Drosophila melanogaster: one gene and its partners. The gene in region 1 interacts genetically with each later gene. Each region holds a gene or a part of one and is shown in the gene's direction. Other genes may lie near its edges. The genes, in order: Ptp52F, Lar, fog and Ptp10D.

Region 1 (7,588 bases):
TTGCAGTGTCAGGAGCGCTTTCCACACATTCTGGGAAATCGCAACGGGTCTTGAATATCTAAAAGAATGCCGCAGCAAAAAAGCCCAAAACGGAAAACTGTAAAAAAAAAACAAAAACAACTACACAAGCACAACGAAGAAAATAAAACGAGATTTCTTGTGCATTGGCAGAACTGGTTTGCCCAGTAATAGGTGTTGTTGGCCTATGGGGGAACGGGAAGTACATATATGCAAGGAATCGGCCAGTTCGGGGACTCGACTTGGCTAAAAATCGATCAATTCTACTTTTGGCGAGGGGGAGGACTCCAAACATGCGCGAAAATCCACAGACATCGTCACTCGCACACACACACACACTCGCGCACGCACACCAACGCACTCGATGTGTCATCGCTTTCTGGTGGTTGTAAATAAAATGTAATCATAGTTCGTTTCTCCACTTATTTACTGATCGTCTTTTTGTTCAACACACTACTTTTTTTGTGCATAATTTGCATAACTCTTTCGCTTGTTTTTTCATTCTCTTTTCAATAACAAACACAATAACAACAACAGTTTGAACGAAAATACTGTTACGACGGCCATCTTGGATAGAGAGAGGGGGCCAAGAGAAAGAAATGTCCCAAAGGCAATATGCATAATGGGGAAAAAGGACAAATATCCAAGCGCACATATAGTATATTATATTTTCCGACTCCAACCGACATGCTTGGTACATAATGCGCGAACTAACACTTTGCCATTGGCAGTTTTGTACATATGACGTTTTTTTTTCTTCATTTCTCCCAATAGCCCATTACACGGGTTGGTTGCGAAAAATCCATTTTGCTTGGGTGTTCTATTTACAACGCGGCGACTCGGTGTTTGTTCTTATTATGCAGCGAACGTTACTTACAACAATTTAGTATTTCATATATTTATAATTACGCTTATTTATTTATGTTTAATCGAAATATACGAAAAGAATTACGCAGAAAAGTGACGAGCGGACGAAAATGCTTCGATTAGTGTGACCGCAGTGGAAGCAGCTCAAAAAACATCACGGGACTATCGATGACAGCGATTAGCTATCGATGTGACTAGGAATGTAGAAAAATGTTAATAAAAATATGTATAATAACTTCTAAATACTTTTTATATCTTATATAAGACCTAAGGACTGAAACCATTGAGTAAAGAACGAGTTGCCATAACTTAAGCCCTACTTCCATGCAAGCGCAGTGTGAACAGCTTAAAAAATTGGCGCGCTATTTAAAATGCTGATAAGGAAATGGACCTTCGTCAGCTTTTTTTTTGCGGAACCACAACGCCTATCCGTGAGTGAACAAAATGGGTTTCCAATTATTTATGCCATATAAGTATTGCTATTTATTTATAACACATCCCAATTCGATAGTCAACACTGCAGTTTGCTAATTGTAAACCGACTTTGTTGTTATCTTACACACACATTCGCGATGGGAGTAAACTTTCCTTATCACCGCTCACACAGCGCCAGAACACAACACAACCGATTTATGGAGTGCTCCCTTTGGCGCTCAGTATTCGAGAATCGCTCAGCGGAAACGGTTATTAGTTTACTGATTTTCGGGCGACACACACACATTCGTTATTCATAGTTGGTGCGCCCAAATATTCGCGAAACAGCAACAACAATTAGCAACCATCTGTCACCTGTGAGTGCAGCGTATCGTACACAATCTCAATCGCTCATTGGGAAAATTGCCGAATAATGTAAATCATTTGCCAAATTTGGGCACTCGTTGTGTGTTATCAGTGTTTGAGATTTAATCAGCCATTTTGTACGCATTACATTATATCGATATAGCCGCTATATCAGCCAATTCTATGGCTCTATAGATATATGTTAAATATGATTCAGTTTAGCAATGCTTGCTAATCCTGCGGTAGCCGATCCTCTTGGCCACATTAGCGTTTAACTGGCGAAATCGAAAGCCATTTATGAGCCAGCACCGTATGGCTGTTATCAGACCGACAACTCTGATGATTATATGCCGATGATAAAGGCCGCTTGTTCGTTTGTAAACGTTAAATTGTTATTATTGGCTTACTTGGTGTTTTGGAAAACCTCGGCGCGCTGCGATTTGTTTAAACAATCGGGCACAGACATTGGCAAATTGTCAACGTTCCATTGCCACACTTTCTGATAACCAAACCCATTAATAATGATCGGAAAGTGTCATTTTTTTTATTTGCTCCAAAGAAGAGCTGTCTTCTTCGCTTGCTTCCGTTGCCGGCAGCGACAACTGAAATTAGTAATTAGTGCTGCCAATTTGAGGGTACGGAATTCTTTCGATTAGCAAGCTCTTCGATGACGCACTCAGCATATCGGCAATATAGTCTATATATCTATATCTATATATCTATTGCTATACCCATTCCATTTGCGACTGCGTGATGGGATTGCAAACAGAGCCGCGATTCGAATTCGAGGATCGTCGTCGGCGATTCTCTGCGATTTTAGCGAATCTGTCGTTAATTTTGTTCGATTATTATTGGGTTGTCCAACAAGCCAGATTACTATCTGTATCTATATCTGCTGGCCACTTCTCCAGCCTGTGAAGTGGCTTGATAAGATTCTAGGGATCCAAAAAATCCAACAAAAAATTCAGAGAATATTGCGACATGACATTGCTGGAGTTTCCAACTTCATTCTCATGAATTTCCGCCGCATTAAAAGGCTTTGGGTGTAAGCCACGACATTGAGATAACCCCCTTTTTATTTTTTTTTTTTGGTATCTCGACCATTTCGTTTATTTTTTTACATTTTCCACTTACGTGTGGTATTTGTGAAATGATCATAAATCGCTCGCTGGAAGTTGTATGTATTACATTTAATTTTTGTTGCGCTGGTCAGCAACTCGGGGAGATCCAGAATCGTTTCCCACATCGCGAGATATGCAAAAGTTCGGCGGCCACTAATTGTTTATGACCAATCACCTTTCGTTTGCCCACGTCCAGTGAACTCTTATTTGTTGTGTTTTGTGTTTATAAACAAATGAACAGTGTGCATGCGAGCCAAGTGCTTTGCAATTGGGCGAGGTTAATGCTTCGCGGAAAATCCCGCGCAGGAACCGGTTGCATTAGCTCCCCGCCGATAACAATTTGTTATTAATAATTAATAACGCATCATTACTCACCGCAAAAAGCAGCAGAAGCAATGAGGCCCTAAGATGGAAGCCACAAATTGGAAGCAATCGCATCGAAGGATTCACGCACTAATCCTTATCCTTTGGATCGCTGGGGTGCAAGGACAAACCGTTGGTTCCCTGGTGGCAGTGAGTGAGAGCCAGGAACTGGCGGAGAGTAAGTATTACTCTTTGAAAAATAAGCATATGGATGTCACTGATAATATGATATTAATATAAGATACACTGATATAAGATACTTTTCAAATCCTAAGTGCATCCAGTTTTGTTTTAGCCTATAAAAAGCTATATGTATTACCAATATTCCAGAGGTGGAGGTGACTGTGGTTTCTACGGTCTACACACTCGGCTTTAGCATCTCCAACGAGGCGGACTACTCCATCGATAAGGTGATCTGTCGCAATGGATCCGGATCGGAAACCGAGGCCAACGCAGCGCACGTTTGGTTCGTAGAATGTTTTGAGTGAAATGATATCGCGGACTAACATAATGCCTATGATTTCCAGTGAAAACCTTAATCCTTGCACCTTCTACACATCGGTGGTTTCATTCCGTTCGAATGTCTCCGGCAAACCACCGCCTTCTGACCAAACCATCTATGCCTACACTGAATATAAGCGTATGTTTATATAAAAATGCTAACTATGAAAACCATAAACCATATCATCTTTAATCGCAGAGCCCAAGACCACAGTGACCTCAGTGGTGGCCACAGCGAACACCATCAAAGTGACCTGGCAGACGAACGACCGCGCCTGTGTGGAGTCCTTTGGCATCACGGCAAAGGCGACGGACTACACCAAATCCTTTCAGCTGCTAAACGATAAAAGTTCTCAGACTTTCGTGAATTTAAGCGCCTGCCTAACGCACACGATCACCCTGGACACGCGAAACAACGCTAGCGTTGTGGTGGACACGGATGCCACCGATGTGGACACACAGTACGCGGAGCCCGGCGATCTCGTCATGAACGTAACGAACCTAGCCAGTGGCATCACGATGATCACGTGGGGAGATCCCTCCGAGAAGAACTGCATCAGTAACTATGTCTTCAAGTGGCAACGCAACGATTGCGGAACGGATCAAAATCAGGATACCACCACGGATGTGCCCAGTACGGAAACTACGAACGAGATTGACTACGTTACCACCACACCAATGGAGACCACACCCGATACGCCCAGTGATGAAGGTAGACTCTAGGTTCCTCTTATAACCTCTTTTGAAATACATATGTGTTTTATTCTTCCCATCAGTTAAGTGCGAGTGGACCGATGTCTCCTCCGATGGCAAGCTGAGGGAGTACCTCCTGACCGATCTTCAAGGATGTGATTTGTACACCTTTCAGGTTTTCATCAACGAGAACAGCACGGCCAAGGCTTCTCAGACTTTTACTTCGGCAGAAAAGTGTGAGTGCAACTAGATAGACCAGCTATCCAAGTAAACCATAAATCACCATAATTCAAATGTTTAGTGGTCAGTGCCGTCTATGAACCCAGTCCCACCGCCTATCCCACCCAGTTGCATTGGACTTGGTTCTCTCCACAAAATCATCCCAAATGTGTGGCTAACTATAGTGTAACGCTGACCGGACCCATTCAACGATCGGAAAACAAAACTATGAATGTGATCACAGAGGAGACATTCGCTATCTTCGACGACCTTGATCCGTGTGGAATATATTTGGTGGAGATTGTGCCCAATCAGCTAAATGGAAGCGCTGGCACCAAGTACCAGGAGCAGAGCACCGTGGGCGAGGATCGTGAGTGCAAGTGCGCTTCAACTCATCCAACATCTATCTATCTACTATGATTATCTTCTTGTAGAGCCATCTGTGATTCAAGATCCCGTCGTGGAAGCAGAAGCCTACTCGATGGAGGTGAGCTGGAAGACGCCCGAGTACGCCGATCTCTGCATCGATGGCTACCGATTGTCCGGCTGGATGGAGGACGATAAGCTGGTTGAGGTTGAAGCACTTAGTATTACCACCCAGAATACGACGGTTGTTTTCGACAAGAATCTGCTGGCCTGTCAGGTGTACATCATTCAGATAATCCCATACACCAAGGAGAACCTCGATGGTCAGCTGAGACAGGTTGGTGTGGAGACCAAAGCAGCTATAGTTGATTACACTAAGGTACTAAGGACTATTTTACGTATATTTCGTATCCATTTGACCATTTCTTACTGACTGCAAGCATTTTATTGAAGGTCAAGCTGGAAATGAAGAATGCTGGCTCCGAATTTATTGATTTAATCGCCTTCAATGCGGACTACAACAATTCCTGTCCGACGATCTTTGCGCTCTTCACGTGCAATGCCACCACCCAGGTGCGAAATCCATACGCGGAGCGTTATGTGGAGGGACATAGCAAACAAGGTGGGTGTACTGGTCATCCAGTCATTCGGTATCCAGATGGCTATTCTAATTCATATTCCATTCTCAGGTTTTAATGCCAGTCTAAGTCCACTTTCCCCCTACGCCACCTACGTTTGCAAAGTAATACTCTACAATGTGGCAGGACCTTCCGAACCAGTTGTCGATGCTGATATGCACACCACAACCTACTGTAAGACCTACATTATATACATATGTATATATGAAGTTCATATGTAAGTTGATCTGTGTTTTCAGTTCCCGAGCAGCCGGAGAGTGTGATGCTGGAGAAGAGCACTGTCAGCAGCCTGCTGTTCAACTGGCAACCGCCCACCTACACAAACGGACCCATCAAGTACTACCAGGCATTCCTGATGCGTCACGAGGCCAGCTACTTTGTGCCCGCGGATTGCGCGATAGTCGAGCAGGACACCAAGTCGGAGACCAAGGGTGATCCTAGTGTAAACTTCACGGGTCTGGCTCCAGCTGTGCGATACATGATGCAAGTTGCGGCACAAAATGACTTCGGAATGGGCGTCTATACAGAACCCGTAATTGGTATCACTTTGCCAGCAGGTGAGTTAAGATGAATAGATGGAATATCTTTATATGAGTAATATGAGTAATGTAAATATTTCGTATCTTGTAGTATCCGATAGCGTGACCCAGTTGACCGTACTAACCCAGGGTCCGGTGAACAATAACGCCGTGTACGAAGCGAACGTGACTATCACGTGGAAGGTGCCCTGCAAGTCCAATGGCGATATCGAGTATTTCCAGCTGGCTTTCAATGGCACACGAAATAACTTCGCTCCAGTTTCATTTGAACGGCGGGTGGAACTGGACACGGGGAATAAGCAGGGACGGATGTCCTACACGGAAACGGAAATGCAGCCACAGTTCGACTATACGGTTGAGGTGTCCGTAAAGAATCGCGATGTGGAACAGTTGAGCAGCAGTGTACCGGGTAGCTGGCAATCGCCAGCGGGACGTAAGTATCGAAATAACGGAAAAGTAATCCGTAATCCATTGATTCCCATTCGTGTATCTTCTCTTTCAGTGCCCACCATTCCGAGTGATGAGCTTATCAAGCAAATGCGCGCCAATGTCGAGGAGACATCTAATCCAACGAAAACGGCCATTGTTCGCCTTCCAGCCGACATCATGACATCCGCATCCGGCGACATCAAGTGGATGGCACTGATGATCTCGCAAAAGAACTGTGCTGGAGTTCCACACCTCAAATACGATGTCAGCAGCGATTGGCCAAAGGTTCTATCCTATCAAGAGGCCGGCGCAGATGGCACAGGTGACTGCAGTCTGGAGTACCAAACCACCGAGGAGCGCTGGCATCCCGAACCCGTTCAACGTCAGCGAAGGGATGGAGAGGTGACATCCGATGAGGAAATTGTTTTTACCATCGGATTGGACAAGTGTTCGGAGGTTCAGAAAACGTATTGCAATGGACCTTTGTTACCAGACACGGATTACAATGTTGTGGTGAGACTGTTCACCGCATCTGGTTATAGCGATGCCGCCGTACTCAACTTTAAGACCAAGGCGGCCATCAAGGTGACCCTGATCCTGGTGAGCGTTTGCAGTTGCCTGCTGCTGGCCTTCGTACTTGGTTTGACGGTTCTCTGGGTGCGCAAGCGATTGGCCTGGTAAGTCAACGATGGCAATCTTCACGAGAGAAAAAAGAACTTAACTTCGTTTGGTGCAGGAAACGTGATTCTGGTCAGGGTATCGAGGATCCATTTGGCAATGTCATTGCCAAGAACTTTGCCATCTTTTATACCGAAGTTGCCAAGCCGGAGAAACTGGCCAGGGAGTTCAAGGAGATCACCGTTGTGGCCTTGGAGCTCAGCTATTCCGCCTCCGAATTGGGTTGCCACAAGAATCGCTATGCGGACATATTTCCTTGTGAGTAACTTCAATGTAGCAATAACCATTATGGGAAACCACATTTTTTCCCATTTAATAGATGACAAGAATCGCGTGATTCTGGACATCGATGCGGAGGGATCGGACTACATCAATG
Region 2 (4,688 bases), on another chromosome or scaffold:
CTGCTGTGTCGTTTACATATCGTTTTTTGGCCCTCATCTCCTTTTTCTGGGCCACGTCGCGCTGTCTAAACGATTTACGACACTTTGGCCAACTGCCTCACGCACACATTTGCAATATTGTTTGTTTGTAAGTTTGTGTGGGTTGTGCGCGGGCGAGTGTCTGTGATATTAGCATGTAACGAACACACACACACACACACACAGATGCAGGAACAGGAGTTAACTTGGCCAAAAGGCAACACAAAATGCCGCACACGTTCGTTTTTATTATGTTAAATGTCTCCTGGGGCAGGAACATCAGCATCTGCGAGTTGTTTCCATCTGTTCGGTGGCTTTCTGCCTTTTAGCTTTCCTCCCTTCCTTTTGTCTTCTGACTTTTGGTAACTGTCACTTGGCTTGTTACATTTCACATTCACTTAGACTGCAGGATTAAATCTGGAGCGCGCCAAAAATCTAGCTAGCCAGGAAAATTAGCACAGGCCGTTTCTCGCCTTTTCCTGCTCGGCACTGCGCTGGTTCGCCCTTCTGCGAAATATCCTGCCAGCTCGTCCTTTCAGCCGATTTCAGCTTACTGCCCGCCGCTCCAGTTGAAACTGACGACTGGCGAACGACGGTCAAAGTCAATGGCGGGCTTTTCGTGGACGCGATTCGCTTTTCACCTTCGTCGACGGGCTCGGCGCCTAAAAGCCGAACCTTTCCGATTCACCCACGTCGAAAGCTCGTTTAGCCATCTCACCAGGCTCTCTTCGAGCAAGTCCTTGCTGAGAAGGATTGAGTTGCCTTAATCGCAGATTTGCTTCTCTTTGGTTTCATGTTCTAAGCCTCGCAGGTCTCGAATCTCGAAATTGAGTGAGTCTGTTTTGTTGCCTTTGAGCATTTAAAATGCGTTTACATTTCTCATATAAGCCTGTACTCTTTGCGTCTGCAATTCGAGTCCTTTTTAGTTGAGCTATAAATGTTATTACCCAGCAAGCACTTCACTCTAAGAGAAACATTGCTGGTTTTGCTATAAAAGCACTCAGTGATTATCTCAATGTTAAATAAATTAGCTCGAATCGAGCGAGCAGTGTAAACTGGATTTACCATTCCCATACATTTATAAGAATTAAATAATAATTTTTATAATGCTAAAGAAAATCCCAATTTTATATTAAATATAAAATATTTTTTGAAACTCATGCTAAAAATGATGTTTCGTAATTCCTCTCAGTTTATTTTACATTTTTTTCAAATTTATTTTATGTTATTTTATCAAATATTCCTTGCACTCAACTGTTCCATAACATTTTAAACTGAGTGATTTTTGAATGCTATTTAGAATCACTCCGATTTGTGTGCTCTTAACATTTCCCAGAATGGTTTGTCTATTCGATTGAGTTCTGAGTACAAAGTGAGTTCCTTTTGAGTAGCCATCCTTTGGTGTTTCTCTTCCATCGCTCGCAGCTTCGGCTGGCGAATTTCTCGGCTTTTCCGCTCTCCGGAAAAATCCACCACACTCGGCGCTCGGTCGGCGCATCCTCGGGCACGCTGAAGGACTCTTCGGGTCGAGTGGCGACTCACAAACGCACACACTGAACGCGAGGAAAACACGAGCATTGCTGCTAGCAGCCTTAGCCAATCGTAAAAGTTTTGTACGTATTTAGTACAATTTCGGGATTTGGCAGGATGTAACGAGCGTGTAAGAAACAGAGCGCGTCCTTCTCAGCCGTGTGTGTGCGATAATCGGGCAACAAGCAGCGCGACAGCAAATTGTATATTACACAAAATTCGCAAAAAATCCAACGAATCGTTTGAATCCAATTTCGAGTGATATAACATAACCACAGATCGTACTCGGTTATAATGCAATAGCAAAGAGCCGCAGCATTTCGAAAATCCGGCAAAGTGATTTTAGCCAAGTTAACCAAAAACCAAATCGTCGAACTCCTCGGCTTGCCTCGGTTCAACCCCCTTCAACCCTTTCTCCATTAACTCGTTGTTGCCGCTGTACTCGTACATATGTGTGCACTTGTTTTTGTGAACGTGTTTTGCCGCAAGCCGGTTAAAAAATTATTCCCATAATTACACCATCCGAGTTGCAGGCGAGGAACTTCCGCGAAACATAATTACCGAAGAACAACTGACGTAGCCGATAATACCTGGCGGATAAATCGGTAAAATCTAAAGAGAAAACAAACTCTGAAAATTATCAGAAGCCTGGTGTGTGGTGTGTGCGTGTGACCTGGAATTTCCTTATGAATATCGATATATATATGGACTTTATCCTTATCGTCCTGGCCCTGCTAATAAGAAACGGCAATCCTGTGCCGCTGCTCGAGATGGAGATTGAAACGATTGCCCCGGGGAGAAGGGGATTCCTTCGGTCTCCCCATCCTTTCTTCCGTAATAGTGTCGTTTCCTTTATTTGTCCTTTTATGTTTACCTACTTTTTCTTTTTGTGCTCCGTCGTTTCGTCGTGGTTTGGTTTGGTTTGGTTTAGTTTGCTCGCACACAATTGAAAATTCAATTGATTTACAAAATGAAGTTTACTGGTTGGGACGACAGATACTTTTTATCTATTTTCATTTGCAGTTTTACGAGCGAGCAGCTCTTTTTTCGGCCCGCTCCTTTTGGCCTCAAAGCGAAACGGTTGGCAATTTTTCACAGTTCTTTTTCGATTGAGGTCCTGGCGGGGTTTCCTGCAGTTTGGTGCGAAAATAACGCTGCGTCCTGCAAGGATTGTTGTGGCTGATGTTTTCGCTGCCTTCCGATTCGGGTGTGCCGAGAGTGTGTGTTTGTGATTGGAGCGGCCTAAAATCGTTTTAGGACCAGCTGCGAAGTGATTTTCAGCTAAGGCGAAAAAAGGACTGCAGTGTGTGTCCTGTGTGAGTGTGGGTCTGCAGATTGACATAGTTATGTCCTCGGCAAGTAATGGGAAGTTCTTGGCAAGAGCTCAAGAAAATTTAAGTTTGGCCTGGCCTTGCAAAGCTAAATAAGATTCTATATATATAGGTTGTTTTAAAGCCAAAATGTTTACTAATGCTTAAAGCTGTTCTCAAAATGAAGCATTTTTCAATTGACATTATCTGCTATTCAATATTTTCAAGCGAGTTCCTTATTCAGAGCCTTCTGCTCAATTCTCTAGTATAAAATATTATTTTTGAGTAAATTCTCAATAAAACTTATAAAAGTAAATATTCTGAAAAAAAGCCTTTCCAAGTGTTTTGACAAGTATTTAATATTTTCGTTGTAGAAACTCGTACAACACAACTCAACCTAAAATGTCTTTCACCACTTGCCTCAAGGAACTTTCCTCGTTTTTGGTGTCAAGTGTTTTTATTAGAAGCAGAAGCAGAAAGGAGAAAAATTGCCGACGAAGGGGCGAAGTAAAAATTTTTCCTTTCATTCCTTTTTCGATCCAAACTTGAAATGAGGTTTGAAACAAAAACGTTTTTTCTGCGCCAGTGTAAAATAATACGCATACGCCATGTATAACGAATACCCAAAGTAGGCTTCACAAGTGGTAAGGGCTACTTTCTTTGGCAGAAACAGAATCGAAAATCGTAGGATATGGTTGTTAAAAACTATAGGCTATTCTATGGCTTACATTAGCCTAATTGAAATTATATCGCTTGATACATCGTTCGCAGGGCTTGGGGTTAATTAGGTGCTGACCAAGTTGAAATTACTATGTAACTTGTTTATTATATTAACATGTGGTTGCTCCTATTGAATGAAAACAGTAGCTAGATATATATATATATATAGATGGATGGATTGATATTGATAAATGAGAGGGGGCTTAATTTGCTCTTTGCATTTCACAGCGACTCGAACTATCCCCACTCCCATTAGCCCTATGGGCCTCAGTTGGAGCCAAAGCAAAAGGACTAGTACTTCAATGGGCACCCCCCCCCCCCCCACCTTCCATTCTCACTGTTCAAACAGCGTTTTACCATTCGTTCGTCATGCCATCGTTGGCTATATAAAGGCGGCTGATCGGCCACGCCCACTCTTCTTTTTCGCCGCTTGTTGTTGACGTTTACAATTTGGTGTTGAAAACTTCAGCTGGAAATTGGGTAATACTCGTGATGATGGCGTTGGTTGGATGACTGCAGCAATCCTGCATTAAGTACCCTCCTGTGTCTGGATGTCGGTGTGTGTGTGTGTGTGAACGCGAAGGGGTTTGCAACAAAGAAATTTTAATTTATATAGAATGAGTTTGGGGGCGGCAATACCTCCATTTTCCACCACCTCTCTCTCTCCTTTTTTTCGGCTGCAGTCGTCGACATTCCGATGTTCGTGTTCTGTGCTCACAGTGCTCTCACTCACTCACTCGTTCGCACATGGAGACCGAAAAAAATCCAATTATTTTAAAACTTTTGACAACTGCAACAACAAGGCGTTGCAAGGCTATGAAAACAATAAGAAACTGACTGAACAGCCAGAGGCAACAAAAACAATATATGTGTATGTATGTATGTAGGGGAAAGTCGAAAGTCCGCAAAAAATCAAGCAGAAAAATGAGTGTGAGTGCTCGAAAGGGTTGCCAGCCATTATAACTTCACTTGAAAAGTTTAATTGATTTTTACAAGTGCATACATATACATACATACATACATATATATATATATATACGGAGATGGACGCAAAAACATGCATACGTACATATGCCACGGACCTACCTGCAGTCGTGATTCTCGTGATTT
Region 3 (4,825 bases), on another chromosome or scaffold:
ACTTGACCATCGCATCGATAAGTCCATACGAAGGGAAGACGGCGAAGAATGAGAGAATAGGGAAATGGGGATGATCCCAATTCGTACACTTGGCAAAATACCCTTAGTTTAGTTGTGGTCATTTTTAGTTCCCTAAGCTAACTCTGTAAATTTATTTTTTAAAGTAATGATCTATATCATCTACATAAAATTGCTTTTATTCATGAATTTTAGCCGGAATCACTGCATAAAAAATAAAGGGAATTCACCTTAATCAAATCGAAATTGAAACGCTGTAAACGACAAAGTGGCCTTAATTGGCCATTATGTTGGCCTAAACACCGGCACAGGCTCAAGTGGCGGCTAAAATTACCAAGAAGTGCGATTTGCGATTCAGTGCCCAATGATGATGACGGGGAACAAAACCATGACTGCTATCAACTTCAATTAGGTTTCGAGGAAATCCATCTCCGACTTTCCAGCTTTTCCGAGATATTTTTATTAAGCCGGCCACTCCAGTTAGCCTTACATATTTCCGAATGTTAGTAGTGTCTGTAGGGGTCTACCGAACTCGGACAAAATTGAAAATAAAAATTTTATTTAATAAGGTACATACATACATACATAGTACATATGTAAATAGAAACAAACAGCCAACGGAAAATTACCAGGAAGAGCCGTACTGCCTTTTTAAATTGAACAACTAGCAGCATTCAGAAAAAATTAAAAGCAGAGAACATCATTAATCATCCTTTGCAGGCGGCCAAAAGAGAGCATCTCCCTAATTGAGAACAAGAGAACATAACAGAAGAAAATGTTAATCATGTATGGGAAAAACAAAAAAGAAAAGAGAATTGTCGAGAAGAGTAAAAGGGTATACTAGATTCGTTAAAAAGAATGTAACAGGGAGAAGGAAGCGTTTTCAACCATATATGTATATGTATATGTACATGTACTTGTATATGTACATGTGTATATATGTATCGTGATCAGGATCAATCAGGACCAGTCGAACTGGTCATGTCCGTCTGTCTGTCCGTCCGTATGAACGTCGAGATATCAGAAAATATAAAAGCTAGATTCTAGAGACATTAGACGCAGCGAAAGTTTGTTCCCCATGATGCCACGCCCACAAACCTCCCAAAACTGCCACGCTCACACCTTTGCATAATGTTTTGATAGTTTTCCATATTTCTATGACTCTTGTTAATTTTTATCGATATGATAAAAATTCCCACTCTAATGCACCAAAACTGACACTCCCACACTTTTGAGAAATGATTTAATTTTTTTGTATTAAACCAGTTGTTTTTCCAATTTATAGATATGCCGAAGATATGCTATCTTAAACCGCCCAATATATCCTGCCCAGACCTTAGAGAATTAAAATTAATTTTTTCCCACCAATTTCTACTAATGTTCGTGAAAAATGTTGAAAAGTCTCGTCCCACTTGGACTTGCTGAATAACGGGTATCTGATAGTCGGGGAACTCGACTATAGCGTTCTCTCTTGTTTTAAATTAATGACATACATACTCAAAACAATGCACGATCAAAACAGCAAAATGATTTCTTTGTGCAGTTGCAACTTAAGAGCAATGAAAACTGAGCGCGGCTTCAGCGCGCTCTTTGAAAAGAGTTCCCTAATGCCGCGCATCGGCTCTTTTCTCTCGGCTAAGATCATTGTCGAACGCGCGTACATATACATATATACAGTACATGTATATTTATATCTGACCACTCTCTGTCTGTCGCAGCGACTGCGGCGCCGACGTCGACGCCTGCGACGACACGTTTCGAAGCCGCTTCTCATTCAAAAAACAACTGTGAACGTGATCGGTAACGGTGCGTGTTCTCTTGTCCGCCCGCTACAGTCTCTTCAAAAAAAAAAACTTAAAAGAAATGAGGGGGGAAGAAAGCGGATAAAAATCACCAACAATAGTAGCAAATGAAAAAAGTAAAGTAACACTATCATTTCGATTGAATTTGTAACATAAATTCGATATTTAAGAGACATGTGCAATCGGTCAAAACGTGGCGCATATAACTTAAAAGCAAATAGTAACATGGGAATATAAATTTGTAATATACATAAATATCTTCTGATTGTGTCCCTTAAAAACGTTTCTTCGTGTGCTTTTATTTTATCTAAATTTGACCCGATTTTAATTTGAATTTGAACAAGAACCTAAACTAAAACAAAACAAAAAAACATTCGAATGCTTATCTGTAAAAGGAAACAGGAAAGAGAGAACGAACGAAGTGAAAATAAAGTAGAATAAAATAAAATACATACTACGAGGCATGTATAAATATACTACGCTTTTGTGTTTATACTACATTGTGAAACAGTTGTCGTTGTACTTGTTGTTGTCTTTACAGCAACAGGCGTCCGATAATTTATAATCTTAAAAATATATGTGCGCCGTACATATAGATTCGCCTACTGAAAAACCCGAGATCAACTTTAAAATACTAGTACCAACCATAATTTGAAGCTTAGCTTTGAGTTATAAATATTTAGTTAACGTTATTTCACAATGATATATATTAAATATCTACAATATTTCACAATCTTAAGCTATTTTCGGTGCACATGTAGGCATTATTTTTGAATTGCACTCAATGTTGCATACAAAATAATTCTCTTTCGTTTTTCCCAAACAGGATGTTACCATTGATACCTTTTGAAGTCGATTTGTTGTAGTGTGTTTTTTTTTCGTGTGCGCAAAAGTCTTTGTGAATTATATGATAATACATGTGATACAGTTGGAGAAATAAAATAGATAAATCAACAAAATCGAATACAAAACCGTGTTGTCCTAATGAGCCTAACAACTGCAGCGAAAAATGAAAGGCAGCCAGCGACGGGAAAACTTTAAGCAACTGAAAAAAATTTAGTATCTTACAAGTTTGAACTGGCTCTTACCAGCAAGCCAATCAACACATACATATAAAATTCTTAATAAACCAAACAAAAAATTAAGCTCAACCGCCATCAAATCGAAATTCAAAACGAGCCAATTTGTGGTGTTTATTATTTATTTGTATGCTAATTTATTTTTACAACAACTTGATATTAACCCACAATCAAAGAAAAACAAAAGTGGGGAAAAGACAAAGAAGAAGCAACTAAAAGCAAAAGCAGCGCACCTTCTTCGGCATCTTTGTTTTGGGATATAAAACAGCAAAAGTAAGTGGATTGTATGTATTTTTATTTAACGTTTATGTGTGTTTTATAATGCCCATCGAATAACCCATTATTACTTTGCGCTGCGAAACTTGTTTCTTAATGCAAATTAAATTGAAAGGAAGCCAGCGAAATGTATACAGCCCAGAAAATTTGGATAACAGATTCGAAACCCACAGTATCTCGTTTCTGGTACTCCTTATTATCCTGCTTCATTATTTCCTGGGTATCAGGATGTCTCGTTTTCGTGGGCTTATCCTAGCGGTTTTTCCGGTCTCACGCCCGATGCTGACCTTCTGACTCTGCGGATGTGGGAAATCTAGCCATTCTGCAGATACAGAGCTGGCTCTTGAGATCTTAAATGACCAAATCGGGAGGTATTTAGTCTAATGCTTTTCGAAGTAGCTATTACGCGTCCAAATGGATTCAGCATGAATATGTTTGGGCTCATGCCATTGACTGACGAGTAGGTATAGTTTCCCTAAAAGCGAACTGATAAATATTAAAAGCATTTTTAATCACTTCTTGAACAACAATAGACACGTGCACATTTCTCAATCTGGTCAAGCGCCTTACTAGTTATTGCAAAAACCAATTTCACGACGTGACCACAATGGATGACAACTGACCTTAGTGTCATCATGCAACCAAAACAATCGAACTACACCAATTCGAGGCGCATTAGGTGTCTTATCGGGGTTCGCTCTCAAACATTTGCCAAACAAGTGAGTTCACGATTATGTTTACAGAGGTGAGTTCCATGAGTTCGCTGGTAATGGACATGATGATGATAATGCCGATGAAGTCACGCGGTGACTATCAGCGCCAATGTGGCAAAGTGATCACTTCCGCTGGACGCAAAATATATTGCGGCTTAAAATGGAAAACTAAAAGCAAACCATGAACGAATTTCGGTACCAAAATTTTATTCCCGCATGAAAGTGTAACCAAGTTAATTGCATTTAACCGACTGTCCAAAAAATAAAGAGCTGGAAGGGTGGCCAAGCACTCAAGTGACTGGGAAATTGTTGACATGCACACTGAGAAAAATGGCCATATTTATGTGTGTATTTAGTAAATTTTTCCGTGGACTCGTTCTTTTATTTGTTTTTGCGCAGACATGAATTACAAAATGTTTTTTGTGCAAGTTCCAAAACGCCCGCAAAATGCTCCAAAAGTCATTATCAGCAATAGAAAGTGTTACAGACGGCACGAAAATTAAATTACGGGTATTGTGATGGTACGTATACATACATATGTATGAATACTATATAGATAGAGTTCGCTTCGATTGCCTCGACTATCAGATAGCCGTCACTCAGCCATAACTCCTAAAATAATTATCCGATTCAAATTATCTATACAGCTATTGTCTTCCGGACATACATATATTTATGCCTATGTTGATACCCCCCCGGGAACGTGGAATGAAATCAGCAACCGAAAAAAAAAACGAATCTATCACGAAATTATTTTCGAGGCTCTTGAGTCCCTTGTGCCCATGGCTATGCAGCCGTGGTAAAATTGATTCAGCTGCATCGGGGCAAACAGCATTAAACGGTCGATCCATAGGGCAGTACGTGCCTGAGGGCCCAAAAGCCGAAAACCAAAAACCGATGGCAATATACGACCTCCACTTACACGAAAAACTTGGGG
Region 4 (4,986 bases), on another chromosome or scaffold:
TGGAAATTAAACGCTCGCTTTTAGTTTTGCCGTCTCGCTCGAAGAAAGAAAGAGGACTACATATGTACAGTCAAACTAATCCAAGTCAAACTCTTCAGTCTCAGAATTGGAGACTTTATTAAAGGTTTTTTATTTTATGAAGAATAGCATATTATTTTTATATATATATATTTATGTATATATATTTATATCACAAATCTCCTTCGATATCCCTTTGTAATCTATAAAAACACTTCCAGGCGCAGCTTTATTTTTCAACAGTTTTAATTTTGGGAACTTTACAAAGCATATAAGCATACCCCAAATCCATATCCTTATAAACTTTGTAGTTATTACAAATGTGTTCAAAATTAAAAAAAAAGTTTGTCATCCAAAATCCAATCCGCTAAATACAATATAATCATTTTAATTGATCTATGTTACACTTCTATAATGTCTACTGGACAAAATATGATTAAGTTGAAATTTCAAAGTGTTTTTGAAGTTCGTACTAGCGAAGTTTGGCTGTAGTTCAATACTCACAGAAAGGGAGCGAGACATATTCCCATCTCGCTCCGACCTGTTATCAAAGCCTTTGCCATTGTCCTTGGCGTTGCGTTCTTATCACCGGCGTATCGGAGGGAATATATGATTTTTTTTTCGGCCAAGTGGTTCTAGTGGTAAATATGAGGCGGTGGGTGGTTTCGGGGGGTTTGGGGGAACGGCGGTTGGTGATGGGCGCAGAGAAGGCGGGAGGCGGGGGGGAACACGTTTCGTTATTTTTTGTTTTATAGCGAAATTCCTCTAGCTATAAATGTATGCATACATATATGCTATTAACTTTTCGTTTAGCTCAATTTTTTGTTTGTATTTTTAATTATAACTCGGTTTGTCTAGTGTGTAATTAAATTAAAAGTCCAATGCTAATTCCCCAGCGAATCGTTCAGTGTTTGTTCAAACGAGTTGTGCTCTTTAAACACTTTTGGCTTATCCTTTCATTTAATTTTTGTTTGTTTTCCTTGCGTTGTTATATGTCCAAATAAAAATGAAAGTTTGAATTGTTTTTTTTTAGTAATTTAGTTTTAACTGTAATGTCAAATGTCAAGAGGTATACTCTGTATAAGAATAATAATGTGTAATGTAATTTTTAGAACTTGCTAATCTCTAGCAATTAAAACATAGCCTGTAATTAACAATAATTAATTATAATAACCAGTAACAGTTCATGCAAATGAAACCTTAATAAATAATAAATTATATAAAAGAAGATGGAAGTGTTTTCAATCAATGAAGTTACTTCCTATTTTCAGGAGTTGGAATGTTACACTTTTTTATAAGCTGATTTGAAATGCGCGCCACATTATATCTGCCTTGCGCGCACGCATTGCAGCCGAATAACGGCGAATTAACTCCCCTCAGAGGTGAGTTTGAACTATCGATTATAATCGATTGCATTCGGAAACAAAAAACACCTTGAGTTTGGTCAGATCGGTTTTGCGCGGGATAAATAATAAAATATTAAATGTTTTCTTTGTTAACATTTCGCTGTGCATGCTGTCTGGGTACACATATACAGCCTATCGCCTTGGCTCACTAAGCCCATGGCTCAGATGTCCATTTGGACTAACATTTTGTGTGAGTAATTGAATAATAAGAATTACGGAGCTCGGACTTGTAATGGCCGAAGTACTACTGCCGCAATGCTTGGTTCACGTTAAAAAGAATCAAGTGCAACAAATTTAATTGTATTTAACTATTTTATAACCGCGCAGCAAAGTAATGGTTAATTCTGCTTTTAAATAGTTGACAGTTACAAGCGAAACATAGAAGCCGCGCAGGTTCCTATCGATACCATCGCTGGGTCATCGATTATTTGTCCAGCTCTACAGGTGAAACGAGCGTTGGCGATTCCGATTCCGATTCCAATTCCGATTCCAAATTCGACTCCGGACTCGAATCCGATTTGAATCAGATTCCAATTCAGTGTGGTGAAGAGCGAACCGGAGTGCGGACGGTACGGACGCGAAATCTGTTAAGGCGGGCCGCAAAGCAAACGCTCGAAAAACGCAAAATTTGTCGATTGTCCGTTCCGCTTTTTTCTTGTGTCTGTGCTTTGCGTCGCGTGCCTGCGTGTACGTGTAAGTGTGCGTGCGCCTGTGTTTGTTTTTTGTTATTTTTTTTATAACCAACGACAACAACAGAATAGAAGTAAATAAAATACACAAATTAACGGTGTATATATTTAAATGTTTTGGTTTTTTTTAGTGGCGTGCCGAATGAGCAAAATTTGAGAAAAACGCAGTGGAAAACGTAAGAAATGCTGAAATAAAGCTTAAAGTAAAAGCAGAAATTGAGAGTTGTTTGTGTGTGTGTGTGTATGTGTGTGCAATAATAATAACAAAAAATGTTGGCCGAGGGGGGCAGACAGACACAGAGCGAGAGAGGTAGAAGCAACACCTACGCAGCTTTTTTATGTATTATTTCGTTTTTTGGCATGCCGCTGCTTTCTCTCTTTCACACGCAGCCTCATTTGAATATTTTGTTGTTGTGCGGCAAATTTCTCCACTTCCTGTTTCTCTGACGGCATTCAATTTTGGGGGATCATTTTGGCTTGTTTCATAAAATCTCTATTAATGCTGACAATAAGTTGCGAAAAATTTCCAGTCGCATTAAAAAAACTTGTCCCACATTTAACAATAAATAAGAGGTGAAGAAATACGTTTTTAAAAACTTGTTTTGTTTTTGTGTTTTATGTGCCGAGATCATAAAGCTCTCTCTCTCCCTCTCTCCCTCTCTCTCTCTCTTGCTCTTCTCTCTCGACCAGAAGGAAAAAGATCAATCAAATCAATCTGCTCTGCTCTTCTTCTGTCTTCCTCTCTTTGCAACAAAGTTGAAGGTCTTTTCTGCATGACAACGTTGCCAAGCGCAGAAAGCAACAACAAGACAGTGCAACAATAACAAAACATACACAGAACAAAATTAGAGTAGCTTAAAAGGGAACTCCTAAATTAAATTAGTCCTACAGCAGGATTACCAATTCATTACAAGTCTATTCAAAAGATACAAGGACAACATCTTTAATTTTCCAGAAGATATGATACTTGTCAATACAATTTGAATTTTGTGCCGTGTATCGTTTTGATTTCGCAAAACTGGTTTTCAGACGTTTAGTTTTATTTGTTCTTCATATTTATTTGGTTTTTTTGCTGGCTGCGATATTTTAAATATTTCAATGACGTCAGCGCAGGCTAAATTATTGATCAGCAGTATTTTTTTGCAACTGCACAAGACAGTGCAATTAATTAGCACTTGTCTGCGAATTAGATTTAAATGAATTTAATGCATTGCTTAATCACACAGTTCCAGGAATGAAAACTTAAGTAGAACGGGTATTTCAATATTATACTTTACTGCTAGATAAGTAAAATAATTGATATTGATTTATTAAGCAAAGTCTTAACAGTGGTTTTTAAATCTCAAATGTTCAATCAAATTTGCATTTGCCTAGTTCCACTGTGCAGAAATATAGAAACAAGTCGCAGAAAAATATGAAAAAATAGGAACTGAAGCTTTCGGCGCAAGCGCAAAGTGTTGGATAAGCAGAAGAGGAAGCAGAGCAGGTAGAGAGCAGGACAGCGGCACTATCTAGCTGTCTCCCTCTTGCGATCACTCTTTCAGTTATTTTTAATTCATACTCTCTTGCAGATCACAAAATAAAAAACAAACAAAAACAAAACAAGAATATGTTTTAATCAATTCAAATTAAACCAACAAATTGCAAGCAATTGGATTCAGGATAAAAATTTACAAAATTTCACCACACTAACGGGAAAACTGTGAAAACAATGCATTTAATCAAAGTAAAGACTAAACTCGCGCTAAAAATGCCCGAATTCGAAAGAAACTAGCGAAAAGCCCAATTCAAAAATCGCACAATAAATTGCAAAGTCCAAAGCAACAACAACATAGGAACAAATAAAACAAGAAGCAGGCAACAAAAGAGAGCCAGGCGGAGAGGAAAACAACAACGAAAACAGCAAAACGACGGCCCCAAAATGTTGTACCAGCTAAGTAAAGCCACTACTAGAATCCGGCTCAAAAGGCAAAAAGCCGTTCCACAACATCGCTGGCTCTGGAGTTTAGCATTTCTGGCAGCATTTACACTAAAGGTAAGCGAGAGGGCCAACAAAAACATGGCCAAAACACACAATAGCGGGTGGATTTATAGGCCCGTCGAATTACCCGTTTCGGAATCTTAGCTTGGGAGAAACGATTATTCAGGATAATAATAATAATTATTCAGGATACATCAATACAAGAGAAATATGCAAAATTAGATAGGAGTTCAAAAGATATGATAAACAACAATAACCTCGAAATGTGCACAAATAACTTTCTAAATTCGAGGGCTATCGAAACGACAAGGTTCTGCAAACATTGTCCGAAGTTATTTAATTATTTATTTGTGACGACCCCGCCCCCGCCTCGAATTAAACCGCCCACATGGAAATCATCGTCTTCGTCACTTTTGTCTGTGGTCTTTCCCATGTTAATTAAATTCAATTATTTCGCATCGTGTTTGCTTTTCGCCATTGTTTATGCGAATGTATTTGCCTCACTGGACACAGTACTAAAAACAAACAAACAAACAAAGCAACAAACAAACTCCAATCCGATCAAAGACCTTGAGGAAACAACAAACAAAAGCAAGAGTAACAAACAATAACCGAACAAGATTTTGCATTTTGCATCTCAAGTCGTGTGCTGTGCAGATATGAAGTAGAATGCATTTAACAGAAGATGATGACATATTTATACCCTGTACACTCAGAATAATTAAATATAACAAACTTAACAGATAGTTATATTTTCGTTTCAAGGAATTTGTCTAAATACTTTGCATGCCTGGCATTTTTAATTGATACTTCGAGCTGTGTTGCATAATAAGTAATTGCATTGCCGATTCCTCGATGTGTGCAACTCAGCTGAGTGATGCAATCGATAAGG

What was found.
Region 2: of Ptp52F (region 1) and Lar, changing one suppresses a phenotype caused by changing the other (phenotypic suppression), as found in Drosophila melanogaster (one study listed by BioGRID).
Region 3: of Ptp52F (region 1) and fog, changing one suppresses a phenotype caused by changing the other (phenotypic suppression), as found in Drosophila melanogaster (2 studies listed by BioGRID).
Region 4: of Ptp52F (region 1) and Ptp10D, changing one enhances a phenotype caused by changing the other (phenotypic enhancement), as found in Drosophila melanogaster (one study listed by BioGRID).

The regions. Positions count from the first base shown.
Region 1 is NT_033778.4:16,172,260-16,179,847, reverse strand, and holds the start of Ptp52F (protein tyrosine phosphatase 52F), read left to right. Parts: upstream 1-1,540; 5' UTR 1,541-1,676; intron 1,677-3,173; 5' UTR 3,174-3,194; coding exon 3,195-3,327; intron 3,328-3,479; coding exon 3,480-3,615; intron 3,616-3,676; coding exon 3,677-3,789; intron 3,790-3,849; coding exon 3,850-4,362; intron 4,363-4,426; coding exon 4,427-4,579; intron 4,580-4,644; coding exon 4,645-4,932; intron 4,933-4,996; coding exon 4,997-5,307; intron 5,308-5,381; coding exon 5,382-5,550; intron 5,551-5,617; coding exon 5,618-5,740; intron 5,741-5,805; coding exon 5,806-6,123; intron 6,124-6,196; coding exon 6,197-6,538; intron 6,539-6,607; coding exon 6,608-7,211; intron 7,212-7,270; coding exon 7,271-7,470; intron 7,471-7,531; coding exon 7,532-7,588.
Region 2 is NT_033779.5:19,604,929-19,609,616, forward strand, and holds the start of Lar (Leukocyte-antigen-related-like), read left to right. Parts: upstream 1-1,640; 5' UTR 1,641-2,153; intron 2,154-4,688. UniProt on the Drosophila melanogaster protein: Possible cell adhesion receptor. It possesses an intrinsic protein tyrosine phosphatase activity (PTPase). It controls motor axon guidance. In the developing eye, has a role in normal axonal targeting of the R7 photoreceptor, where it negatively regulates bdl.
Region 3 is NC_004354.4:22,852,154-22,856,978, reverse strand, and holds the start of fog (folded gastrulation), read left to right. Parts: upstream 1-1,784; 5' UTR 1,785-1,936; exon of another isoform or gene 1,937-3,172; intron 3,173-4,825. UniProt on the Drosophila melanogaster protein: Coordinates cell shape changes during formation of the ventral furrow and invagination of the posterior midgut primordium, by inducing apical constriction of cells in spatially and temporally defined manners.
Region 4 is NC_004354.4:11,620,069-11,625,054, forward strand, and holds the start of Ptp10D (protein tyrosine phosphatase 10D), read left to right. Parts: upstream 1-1,946; 5' UTR 1,947-2,117; exon of another isoform or gene 2,118-2,289; intron 2,290-3,684; exon of another isoform or gene 3,685-3,761; 5' UTR 3,762-4,034; coding exon 4,035-4,148; intron 4,149-4,986.